3 linked regions of the Macaca fascicularis genome follow. The protein of the gene in region 1 binds, or shares a complex with, the protein of each later gene. Links are inferred from orthologs where the notes say so. Each region holds a gene or a part of one and is shown in the gene's direction. Other genes may lie near its edges.

Region 1 (3,645 bases):
TTATTTAGTTAGTAACTGCTATTAGCAGAGTATCAAAGCTGTGGCATTGGGACACAGATAGAAGTTAGGAGGAATATGGAGAAAGAATGTAGAAATTCTTTGTGTATGACAGGTCTGTGTGGGATGTTCCCAGTTGGATACAGTTGGATAAACTGTAAACTAAGTCTACAGTTTAGCTTGTTGCTGTCCATGCCTACTTCTATGAAAATGCAGCTACAGTTTTGGGAACAGATAGGTTGTCAGTTTTGTGGCAGAGGTCAGAGTCAATGGTGCAATACCAAGAAAATGGTAAAAAAGGCCAACCTGTGAACTGGCCATTGTTTTAAAAAAAGACCAACACATTTTATAATGGAGATATATTAATTATGGTTCATATTTTCAAATTATTGAATGAGACTTTCCAAGTAAAGCAAAGTTTGATTCATGGATTTAGGAGGAAAGGTATGTGCATACATGCATGTATGTGTGCATTCATTCATTCTTTCTAATGTGTAAATCATAAGTTTTCAAATATTGGAAGTGTTTCATTATAGTGACAGTGTCAAAATACCTTATAACTCATTGTCCTAAAGACCTTTTTAGATTATTTTAACTAATTTAAAAATTTTAATTGAAATTTTTATTGAGTGTATTAGAGTTCTCCAGAGGGACAGAACTAATAGGATATATATATATATATGAAGGGGCGTTTATTAAGGAAAATTGGCTCACACGTTCACAAGGTGAAGTCATACGATAGGCCACCTGCAAGCTGAGGAGGAAGAAAGCCAGTAGTGGCCCAGTCTGAGTCCAAAAGCCTCAAAAATAGGGAAGCCAACACTGTAGCCTTCAGTCTGTGGCCAAAGGCCCAAGAGCCCTCGTCAAACCACTGATGTAAGTCTAAGAGTCCAAAGGCCAAAGAACCTGGCATCTGATGTCAAGGGCAGGAAGCATCCAGCAGGGGAGAAAGGCGAAAGTCAGAAGAGTCAGCAAGTCACCTATCCCACCTTCTTCCTTCTGTTTTGTTCCAGCCTTGCTGGTAGCCGATTGGATGGTGCCCACCCATATTGAGGGTGGGTTATCTTTCCCAGTCCACTGACTCAATGTTAATTTTCCCTAGCAACGCCCTCACTGACACACCCAGAAACAAGACTTTACAGCCTTCAATCCAGTCAAGTTGACATTTAATATTATCACCTTGATGTTTTCATGTACAGATATAAGAAACAGTGCAGAGTTCCTTTTCACTTTGTCCAGTGTCCCCCATTGATAACATTTTGCAAAGTTGTAGTGTAGTATTACAACCAGGATATTGATACAGTCCCCCATAGGGTTCAGATTGCCACAATTTTGCTTGTACTAATAATGTCTGTGTGTGTGTGTGCGCGCACTCGCGCATTAAGTTCTATATAATTTTATCCCCTGTGAAGGTTTGTGTATCCACCACCATAGTTAAGATGCTCAGTTGGGTGCAGTGGCTCATGCCTGTAATCCCAGCACTTTGGGAGTCCGAGGCAGGCAGATCACCTGAGGTCAGGAGTTTACCAGCCTGGCCAACATGGTGAAACGTCTCTACTAAAAATACAAAAATTAGTCAGGCGTGGTGGCGGGCACCTGTAATCCCAGCTACTCGTGAGCCGAGATTGCACCACTGTACTCTAGCCTGGGTGACAGAGCGAGATTCTACCTCAAAAAAAAAAAAGATACTGAACTTGCCAACACACAAAGATCCCTTTTGTTGTCCTTTTATAACCACAGACATCTCCTGCCTACACTCCATGCCCTCATTCCCTTGCCCCCTTTCTCCATCCCTAATCCATAGCAACCACTTACCTTTCTTCCTTTTCTAAAGTTTTTTCATTCTAAAAATGTTATATAAATGAAATTATGCAGTATATTACCTCTTAGGATTGATGTTGTTTGACTTAGGTGAGATTATCCAGGTTGTGTGTATCAGAAATTTTTTCCTTTTTATTGCTGAGTAGTATTCCGTAGTATGGATGTACCGTGTGTGTATGTGTGTGTGTAGCTTTTCACCTATTGAAGGAAATCAGGCTAATTCCGGTTTTTGGCTATCACAAATAAGATTGCTGTAAACATTTGTGTACTGGTGTTTGTGTGAACATAAGTTTTCATTTCTTTGGGATAAAAGACCAGGAGTGCAGTTGCTGAGTCATATGGTAGTTGCATGTTTACTTTTATAAGAAAGTGTATTTCAAATTGTCTGTACCATTTTACATTCCCACTAGCAATATGTGAGTGATTTAGTTTCTCTGCATTCTCATTAGCATTTGATGGTATCATTGCTTTTTATTTGAGCCTTTAAAAAGCCTAAACATGGTTTAGCATGTTTAGATTTTTAAGATCACAAATATTATCTTGACCACTCTTATAAGAACTCAGTGGTTTCAAATTAATTTTGTACTTTTAACCCAGGATAGGACTTTCTGTGTACTTCAGCTGGTTCCATTTGCCTCTCATTTTAAGAGGCAGGTGTAATGTAAATGTGCAGGTTTCTACTTAAAAGTTTTGTTACTTTGAGTCCATGAATTTTTGCTGAAACAGTACTGAGGCATGATTTCTATAACTTCTCCTAGATCACTTTAAAAAATCTGTATCTTTAAAACTTTTACTGTTAGGACAGTAAAGTTAATAGTTACCAGTTAGTATGCATTTACCATGGATCAGGACTTTGTAACTTCTTTACAGGTACTGTTTTATATCCTTAAGAGTTCTGGTTTTGCAGCTGGTAGCAGTTGGGGTTGTTTGGAATACAGTGGCCATGTGGAGCTGGGCTAGCAGTAGGCTCACTATGTATGTGTGGCAGGTCGTGTTCATCCTGCTCTAATTCATAGATGATTTTTTTTTCCACTGTCATGGGAAACTTGTAATGTCTTAATGTCTTTAACTTATGTGAGTAAACCATAATTCATGTGCAATTAAGAGTGGACTCTATAAAATAGTGTGTGGTCGCTGTGAAAAGCATGCTTTTCCAGGATCCTTTCCTTTTCCATTTCTTAGAAGAATATTTTTTCTTTAAATTAAAGTACATATTTTATCATTATCACAAATAAGTTACACATCTATTTCTCTTCCACTTATCTCATTTTTATGTACTAGACAGCTTTCAAATGATGTGTTTTTTATTTTGTGTATCAACAGGTGACAGTTAAAGGATTTGAACCTTTAATTCAGTTTGCCTACACTGCTAAACTGATTTTAAGTAAAGAGAATGTGGATGAAGTGTGCAAATGTGTGGAGTTTTTAAGTGTACACAATATTGAGGAATCCTGCTTTCAGTTTCTGAAATTTAAGTTTTTGGACTCCACTGCAGACCAGCAAGAATGCCCAAGAAAAAAATGCTTTTCATCACACTGTCAGAAAACAGATCTTAAACTTTCACTTTTGGACCAGAGGGATCTAGAAACAGATGAAGTGGAGGAATTTGTGGAAAATAAAAATGTTCAGACTCCTCAATGTAAACTCCGCAGGTATCAAGGAAATGCAAAAGCCTCGCCTCCTCTACAAGACAGTGCCAGTCAGACATATGAATCCATGTGCTTAGAGAAGGATGCTGCTCTGGCCTTGCCTTCTTTATGCCCCAAATACAGAAAATTCCAAAAAGCATTTGGAACTGACAGAGTCCGTACTGGGGAATCTAGTGTC
Region 2 (3,645 bases), on another chromosome or scaffold:
TGTCTTCTTTTGAGAAGTGTGTGTTCATATACCTTGCCCACTTTTTGATGGTGTTGTTTTTTTCTTGTAAATTTGTTTAAGTTCCTTGTAGATTCTGGATATTAGCCCTTTGTCAGATGGATAGATTGCAAAAATTTTCTCCCATTCTGTAGGTTGCTTGTTCACTCTGATGATAGTTTCTTTGGCTGTGTAGAAGCTCTTTAGTTTAATTAGATCCCATTTCTCAAATTTGGCTTTTGTTGCCATTGCTTTTGGTGTTTTAGTCATGAAGTCTTTGCCCGTGCTTGTGTCCTGAATGGTATTGCCTAGATTTTCTTCTAGGGATTTTATGGTTTTAGGTCTTACACTTAAGTCTTTAATCCATCTTGAGTTAATTTTTGTATAAGGTGTAACGAAGGGGTCCAGTTTTAGTTTTCTGCATATGGCTAGCCAGTTTTCCCAACACCATTTATTAAATAGTTAATCCTTTTCCTGTTGCTTGTTTTTGTCAGGTTTGTCAGATATCAGATGGTTGTAAATGTGTGGTGTTATTTCTGAGGCCTCTATTCTGTTCCATTGGTCTGTATATCTGTTTTGGTACCAGTACCATGCTGTTTTGGTTACTGTAGTCTTATAGTATAGTTTGAAGTCAGGTAGTATGATGCCTTCAGCCTTGTTCTTTTTGGTTAGGATTGTCCTGGCTATACGGGCTCTTTATTGATTCCATATGAAATTTAAAGTAGTTTTTTCTAATTCTGTGAAGAAAGTCAATGGTAGCTTGATGGGGATAGCATTGAATCTCTAAATTATTTTGGGCAGTATGGCCATTTTCATAATATTGATTCTTTCTATCCACGAGCATGGGGTGTTTTTCCATTTGTTTGTGTCTTCTCTTACTTCCTTGAGCAGTGGTTTGTAGTTCTCCTTGAAGAGGTCCTTCACATTCCTTGTAAGTTGTATTCCTAGGTATTTTATTCTCTTTGTAGCAGTTGTGAATGTGAGTTCACTCATGATTTGGCTGTCTGTTATTTGTGTGTAGGAATGCTTGTGATTTTTGCACATTGATTTTGTATCCTGAGACTTTGCTGAAGTTGCTTATCAGCTTAAGGAGATTTTGGACTGAGATGACTGGGTTTTCTAAATATACAGTCATGTCATATGCAAACAGAGACAATTTGACTTCCTCTCTTCCTATATGAATACCCTTTATTTCTTTCTCTTGCTTGATTGCCCTGGCCAGAACTTCCAATACTCTGTTGAATACGAGTGGTGAGAGAGGGCATCCTCGTCTTCTGCGGGTTTTCAAAGAGAATGCTTCCAGCTTTTGACCATCCGGTATGATATTGCCTGTGGGTTTGTCATAAATAGCTCTTACTATTTTGAGATACGTTCCATCAATACCTAGTTTATTGAGAGTTTTTAGCATGAAGTGGTGTTGAATTTTATCAGAGGCCTTTTGTGCATCTGTTGAGATAATCATGGTTTTTGTCATCGGTTCTGTTTGTGTTATGGATTACGTGTATTGATTTGCATATGTTGAACCAGCCTTGCATCCCAGGGATGAAGCTGACTTGATCGTGGTGGATAAGCTTTTTGATGTGCTGCTTGATTCGGTTTGCCAGTATTTTACGGAGGATTTTCACATCGATATTCATCAGGGATATTGGCCTGAAATTTTCTTTTTTTGTTGTGTTTCTGCCAGGTTTTGGTATCAGGATGATGCTGGCCTCAAAAAATGAGTTAGGGAGGCGTCCCTCTTTTTCCATTGTTTGGAATAGTTTCAGAAGGAATGGTATCAGTTCCTCTTCGTACCTTTGATAGAATTTGGCTGTGAATTCGTCTGGTCCTGGGCTTTTTTTGCTTGGTAGGCTATTACTGCCTTAATTTCAGAACTTGTTATTGGTCTATTCAGAGATTCGACTTCTTCCTGATTTAGTCTTGGGAGAGGGTATGTGTCCAGGAATTTATCCATTTCTTCTAGATTTTCTAGTTTACTTGCATATAGGTGTTTATAGTATTCTCTGATGACAGTTTGTATTTCTGTGGGATCAGTGGTGATATCCCCTTTATCATTTTTTATTGTGTGTATTTGATTCTTCTCTCTTTATTAGTCTGGCTAGCGGTCTGTCTATTTTGTTAGTCTTTTCAGGAAACCAGCTCCTGGATTCATTGAGTTTTTGAAGGATTTTTCATGTTTCTGTCTCCTTCAGTTCTGCTCTGATCTTAGTTGTTTCTTGCCTTCTGCTAGCTTTTGAATTTGTTTGCTCTTGCTTCTTTAGTTCTTTTAATTATGATGTTAGGTTGTTGATTTTAGATCTTTCCCGCTTTCTCCTGTGGGCATTTAGTGCTATAAATTTCCCTCTAAACACTGCTTTAGCTGTGTCCCAGAGATTATGGTACATTGTGTCTTTGTTCTCATTGGTTTCAAAGAACATCTTTATCTCTGCCTTCATTTTGTTATTTGGCCAGTAGTCATTCAGGAGCAGGTTGTTCAGTTTCCATGTAATTGTGCGGTTTTGAGTGAGTTTTTTAATCCTGAGTTCTAATTTCATTGCACTGTGGACTGGGTGATACTTTAAGGGACTATGCAGAAGCACTCATGGATTCATGGGATCCAATTCCAATTTTTTTTTTTTTTTTTTTTTTTTGCAGAATGTTCGCATCTTACCACATACAGTTCTTTACATGGCTGATTCAGAAACTTTCATTAGTCTGGAAGAGTGTCGTGGCCATAAGAGAGGTAACTATCAAAAGAAAAGCTTTTGTTTCTGTTTTTTTTCATCATGTGCCTTCTGTTTGGAGTTCAATATTGTACTTGTCCTGAGACTTAATCGACTTTCTGAGGCTGTGGGACTGCCACCTGTAGTATGCATGAATGTATCTATCTTTGAACCTTGAGGAACCCTTTCTGCTTCAGATTGATTTCTAAACCTTGTAGTGTAATTGAAACAAATTCATTAGAAAGGTGTTTTTCTCAATTTGAGATGCTTTAATTCTCCAGGCACTTTTTATTATTAAAACAGGTTGTATGACTTTGGCTATTCAGGCCTTTTACTATATTGGAACATGAGGTCCCATTTACCAAAGTTATGTAGAGAAATGGTGCATTTTTGGCTGGCTGAGGGAAAAGGCAGAATAGGTATTCAAGATGGGCATACATAGGCCCCAAATTAGACTTAGATAATGGATTCTTATTGTCTAATTTGAATCCAGTTAACTGTTGATGCAAATAGTAGTTATACTGCAATATCAGCTGAACAGAAAGGTACAGTAGCAAGTCTAAAATTCAGCTGTTACTGCTAAATTTGACATCACTGGGGCAAAAGCATTATATGAACAGAGAGGAAAGGCAGACTAGTGGTGCAAAAGATCAGATTTAGAATTTAAAAGCCAGGACCAAAACAGGTAAAGTGTTTGTTTTAATCAATGCTTTTAGACCTTTATTTAGAGCATTCTCGTGTCAGGTGACCTAAATATTTCCAGTATTTGCTTTTTTACTTTTTCATTGTCAGATTTGACTTTAAATGGATGATATTTAATCATTTTGCTACTGTATTTTTACAGCAAGGAAAAGAACTAGTATGGAAACAGCACTTGCCCTTGAGAAGCTATTCCCCAAACAATGCCAGGTCCTTGGGATTGTGACCCCAGGAATTGTAGGTGAGA
Region 3 (4,375 bases), on another chromosome or scaffold:
CCCTGGAAGATTCCCCTACAGGCAGATGGATGAAAGTTATGTGGATTATATGTGTAGGTAAATGTAGTTCAGGCAATGCATTTGATAGTGAATAGCGTGTATGTCTGTGAAACCTTTTGACAAATATTTGCTTCTAGAATTCCACATCACTGTCATTAGGCTCTGAAAGAAGGATCCCTGAATGTGACAGACTTAAGATTAGTCATTTCTGACAAAGAGGCCACAATAAACAAATGTTGGATAGCATGTTTGAGTGCAGACTGGGTGGCGCTGGCCACTATAGTGGTAATAGCAATGTAGGTTCCAACAGAGGTCTCTAAGTCACTGGGCCTTGAATATTGCAATACTGCTCCCTCAGTCAGCTCTCTCAAGTTATCCTTAGCAGATTTTTTTTTTAAACAGCTGCCACTTCACTTCCACCCTTCAGCAGGTAACCAAGCTCTATCTGAAGGAAAATAGAAACCATCAGAAAGGAACTCTCACCTTCCGGCTAGAAACATCCACCTATCTATATTCATCCTTTATCTACCTTTCGTCATTCTCTGTAATCACAATGAAGAAAGTGTCCTTCCTAAAGCACTCTCCATTCCACCTTCTCCTATTTCTCTCATTGGAGTCGCTCATTCCCATCGGTATTTGCTTCCTCCAATTCTTCGCTTGTGAAAGCTAACTTCTCCAGACCAGGTGCCGCTCTAGTAGCTGCCCTAGCTCTCTAGCCTCGATATAGTCAAACCTTCTAACGGACTGCCTGCACAGCTATTTCCTCTTTCTCATCCGACTCACCAAGGTTTGTCATACAGCCGGCACTGCACCGTCATGTTTAAAATATATAACAGATGGCTAGACAGCATTCCGAGGGTGCAGACAATAAAGTGATCTACAGCTTGTAGCCTGGGTGTTGGATGGCTCATTGGGTGGGGAAGCTGTTATCTTTCCACCGTGCACAGGTAATTTGATATATGCTTTCACTCTGAAATAAAGTTGTGGAAAGGCAGTAGTACGCAACAATTAATAAAACACAAGTGAGTAAACAGTGATGCCGCACAACCAATCAACCCCTCACATGACTTGGGTGCGTATCACCCACCGGCCGCATCTGCCACTCCGCCCAAGGCGCGGTCAGCACCCACGCCGGCCCTTCCGGCGGAACCCGCCTCGCGGCTTCGAAGTGGCCTGGGTTTCCGAGTCAGGGGTGGTGATAGGGGTGGAAGATGAGGGGAAGAGCCGAGCGGCTACCGGCCAATGGCAGCTCTTGAACTTACACCTCGAGACGTCAGCGCGGCTGTGTAAACGGATGTCACACAGCTGGCTCGGAAGTGTCTCCTCCCGCCTTAGAAAAGCGGCGCACGCCCAGCAGCTTCGGAAAAACCTTAGGCGGCTGGAGGGAGGGGCGCGCGCCGCACCCCGCGAGCCCAGAGCTCCATACCCTAGCCGGCCGGCTTCTTCCCGTAGTGCCGTGTGGCTGCCGTTCCGGGTGAGCAGCGGGCGCTAGCGTCCCCGCCACGAGCGCGCCACCGCAACTGGCTCCGCCCCCTGCCGGAACGGGCCGCGCGTTCCTGCGGCTCCGAGCAGAGTCGCGGGCGCGCGCGCCGGCGGCAGATCCGCAGTTAAAATGGTCCGAGCGGGACCCGGCCTTGCCCCCGCTGCCGCGCTGACTGACTGAGCCGGCTGGCCGGGCCCGGACTGGTCACCTAGCCGGCAGGCTCGCTCGCTCGCTCACTCCCTCGCGTCCCCAAAGCTCGCGCCCATCGTTCTCCCGGCTTCCCTGGGCAGAGCATGTAGCCCCCGTCGGGCACTCCGGCGGCCCGCAGCTGACGCCCACCCCCCACCGTCGCGTGTGTGCCCGTGTGTGCGTGTGTGTGCGCAGGGAGGGCGACCCCGCCGTGGGCCGGGGGCCGAGCCAGCGAGCGGCCTGCCCCGCTGCCAGGAGCCCGCCTCTCTGGGTCTCCCTCCCTCCCGTCCCGGTCCCCCTCCTCGGGGTCTTCTATATGGGCCACCTTCTCTCGAAGGAGCCGCGTAACCGCCCGAGCCAGAAGAGGCCTCGCTGTTGCAGTTGGTGCCGCCGCCGGCGCCCTCTCCTCAGGCTGCCCCGCCGGACCCCAGCCAAGGTGCCCCCTCAACCGGCGGCACCCCGGAGCCGGGACTGCTTCTTCCGCGGGCCCTGCATGCTCTGCTTCATCGTGCACAGTCCCGGCGCGCCCGCCCCCGCCGGCCCAGAGGAGGAGCCGCCGCTCTCGCCGCCGCCGCCGCCGCGGGACGGGGCCTACGCTGCCGCCTCCTCCTCCCAGCACCTGGCGCGGCGCTACGCGGCCCTGGCCGCCGAGGACTGCGCCGCTGCCGCCCGCCGCTTCCTGCTATCCTCGGCCGCCGCCGCCGCAGCCGCTGCCGCCTCGGCTTCGTCGCCCGCCTCCTGCTGCAAAGAGTTGGGGCTGGCTGCGGCCGCCGCCTGGGAGCAGCAGGGCCGAAGTCTCTTCCTGGCCAGCTTGGGGCCGGTGCGCTTCCTGGGGCCGCCCGCCGCCGTGCAGCTCTTCCGGGGACCGACACCGCCGCCGGCCGAGCCCCCTACGCCCCCCGAAATGGTGTGCAAGCGGAAGGGGGCCGGGGTCCCAGCCTGCACCCCCTGCAAGCAGCCCCGCTGCGGCGGCGGGGGCTGCGGCAGCGGCGGCGGTGGTGGTGGGGGAGGGCCTGCGGGGGGAGGCGCTTCGCCGCCCCGACCCCCCGACGCCGGCTGCTGCCAGGGCCCGGAGCAGCACCCGCAGCCGCTCTGCCCCCCGCCCTCTTCTCCCACCTCCGAAGGTGCCCCTACCGAAGCTGGCGGGGACGCTGTCCGAGCCGGGGGCACCGCCCCCTCGTCCGCCCAGCAGCAGCATGAATGTGGCGACGCGGACTGTCGGGAGCCCCCCGAAAACCCCTGCGACTGTCACAGGGAGCCGTCCCCCGAAACCCCAGACATCAACCAGCTGCCGCCGTCCATCCTGCTCAAGGTGGGTCTGGGCGAGAGGCGCAGGGATGCTCGCTTTCCCCCACCCTCGGCCCCCGCCTCTGAGGCTTTCTCTCTCCTCCCCCTAAACGCGGAGGAGGGGGGTTCCCTGACAGTCTAGGGACGTCCGAAGGGGAGACTGGGAAGCCAGTGGGGCCTCTGCGTATGACCTATTTTTTGAAGTAGGAGCACTTGGAGTCTACTGAATGTCTTTTAATAGCTTGACTCTGTAACCCACCATTCAGGGTTCAGCTATTATTAGAATCCCAACCCAGTCGTTTAGAAACTTCGCAGGTATTCTGTGGAAAAGAAAAAAAAAATTAATCGGGAAGTTTATACTTAGTGGGTAAAGGCTTTGCGTATTAGTATTTGAAGGTCTTCAAACATTACTTTTATGTTTGATGATTGGTAGTTAATGTCAAACAGTTATTATTGAGCATTTACCATAATCAGGCGCTGCACCAGAACTTTATATATATAATATCCCATTTATTCCTTCAGTTAAAGCTGCGAGATAAATACTGTTAATATCTTTATTTTATACCAGAAGAAACTGACTTCTCCGTGCTGTGGGCCACTGTTTACAGTAGTGAGTCAGGCAGAAGTGGCCTTTGCTCCTGTGGAGCTGACAGTCTAGTGGGGCTTGAAGTGGTCGAATGACTTGTGCAAGGTCACATACAGAAAGTAAAGGGCAGATCTAGGTCTTGAATGAGGGAATTTAAGACCACCTGACTTTAAAACCCCTTTGTTTATGCTATGTTGTAATGCCCTTCTACAGTTTAGCCTTTGCATAAAAGCATGCAGATTACCAGAGGTAAGCGCAGATGTATTTTTTGTTGGGAAATGGGTGAGTAGAGGTAGGTGTCCTATATGAACTTTGTGTCATTTTCAACTATCAAGGATATTTTGCAGTTTTGTCAATGCTAGTGACAAACTTTAGTTACATAATAGAGTTTTTCTTAAGTTATTAACTTTTTTCCTCTTTTTCTGTCTTCTCCCACCCTACCCTATGTGGAGCTTAATAAATATAAACCATTTTCATTGTGGATGATACTAGAGACTATCCATAAATAATCTTGATAAGAATTTGGCTACTTTTACCGTTACTGAAGTAACTGTCAGTAATTACAATTGTTATTGTCACCAATATAGTTTCTGTGACTAGACTTTTTGCATATTTACAGTACTGTGTGTTTGGGTCTTTTTTACTGTGATATTAATGTTCTTGTGAATGATACAGCAAGAAGGTGGGAAAACTTACATTTCCTTGTGTCAAAATGTAATGATCTAATTCTTATGGAGGTCTACTTGTTGGAAGAGTAATTCCCTACTCTTTGTGTGCAGAGGTGCATTTTAGGACAAAGGGAACTTTCTTGAGTCCTTTAAATCACTGGA

The links.
Region 2: the proteins of BACH1 (region 1) and FBXO22 are in contact, whole or in part, in a cryo-EM structure (PDB 8S7D), measured with the Homo sapiens proteins. The link is inferred for Macaca fascicularis from reciprocal best matches to the Homo sapiens genes BACH1 and FBXO22. Residues at the interface, in NP_001177.1 of Homo sapiens: Ser7, Val8, Phe9, Ala10, Tyr11, Glu12, Ser13, Ser14, Val15; in NP_671717.1 of Homo sapiens: Asp366, Gly371, Asn372, Phe373, Ile374, Leu375, Arg376, Lys377, Cys378.
Region 3: the proteins of BACH1 (region 1) and FBXL17 are in contact, whole or in part, in a cryo-EM structure (PDB 8UAH), measured with the Homo sapiens proteins. The link is inferred for Macaca fascicularis from reciprocal best matches to the Homo sapiens genes BACH1 and FBXL17. Residues at the interface, in NP_001177.1 of Homo sapiens: Val20, Leu21, Ser23, Leu24, Gln27, Val32, Leu33, Asp35, Phe39, His48, Arg49, Ser50, Val51, Ala53, Ala54, Cys55, Ser56, Ser57, His60, Ser61, Arg62, Val64, Asn72, Thr74, Pro76, His116, Asn117; in NP_001156787.2 of Homo sapiens: Asp395, Arg421, Asn447, Gln473, Gln498, Glu499, Met524, Arg548, Cys574, Leu575, Tyr598, Val600, Ser601, Asp623, Trp626, Met651, Arg652, Val676, Gln678, Asp679, Cys680, Arg682, Thr683, Glu685, Gln689, Trp692.

Annotation. Positions count from the first base shown.
Region 1 is NC_088377.1:17,713,089-17,716,733, reverse strand, and holds part of BACH1 (transcription regulator protein BACH1), read left to right. Parts: intron 1-3,141; coding exon 3,142-3,645. UniProt on the Homo sapiens protein: Transcriptional regulator that acts as a repressor or activator, depending on the context. Binds to NF-E2 DNA binding sites. Plays important roles in coordinating transcription activation and repression by MAFK.
Region 2 is NC_088381.1:53,200,558-53,204,202, forward strand, and holds part of FBXO22 (F-box only protein 22), read left to right. Parts: intron 1-2,631; coding exon 2,632-2,719; intron 2,720-3,543; coding exon 3,544-3,639; intron 3,640-3,645. UniProt on the Homo sapiens protein: Substrate-recognition component of the SCF (SKP1-CUL1-F-box protein)-type E3 ubiquitin ligase complex that is implicated in the control of various cellular processes such as cell cycle control, transcriptional regulation, DNA damage repair, and apoptosis.
Region 3 is NC_088380.1:114,883,539-114,887,913, reverse strand, and holds the start of FBXL17 (F-box/LRR-repeat protein 17), read left to right. Parts: upstream 1-1,570; 5' UTR 1,571-1,988; coding exon 1,989-2,984; intron 2,985-4,375. UniProt on the Homo sapiens protein: Substrate-recognition component of the SCF(FBXL17) E3 ubiquitin ligase complex, a key component of a quality control pathway required to ensure functional dimerization of BTB domain-containing proteins (dimerization quality control, DQC).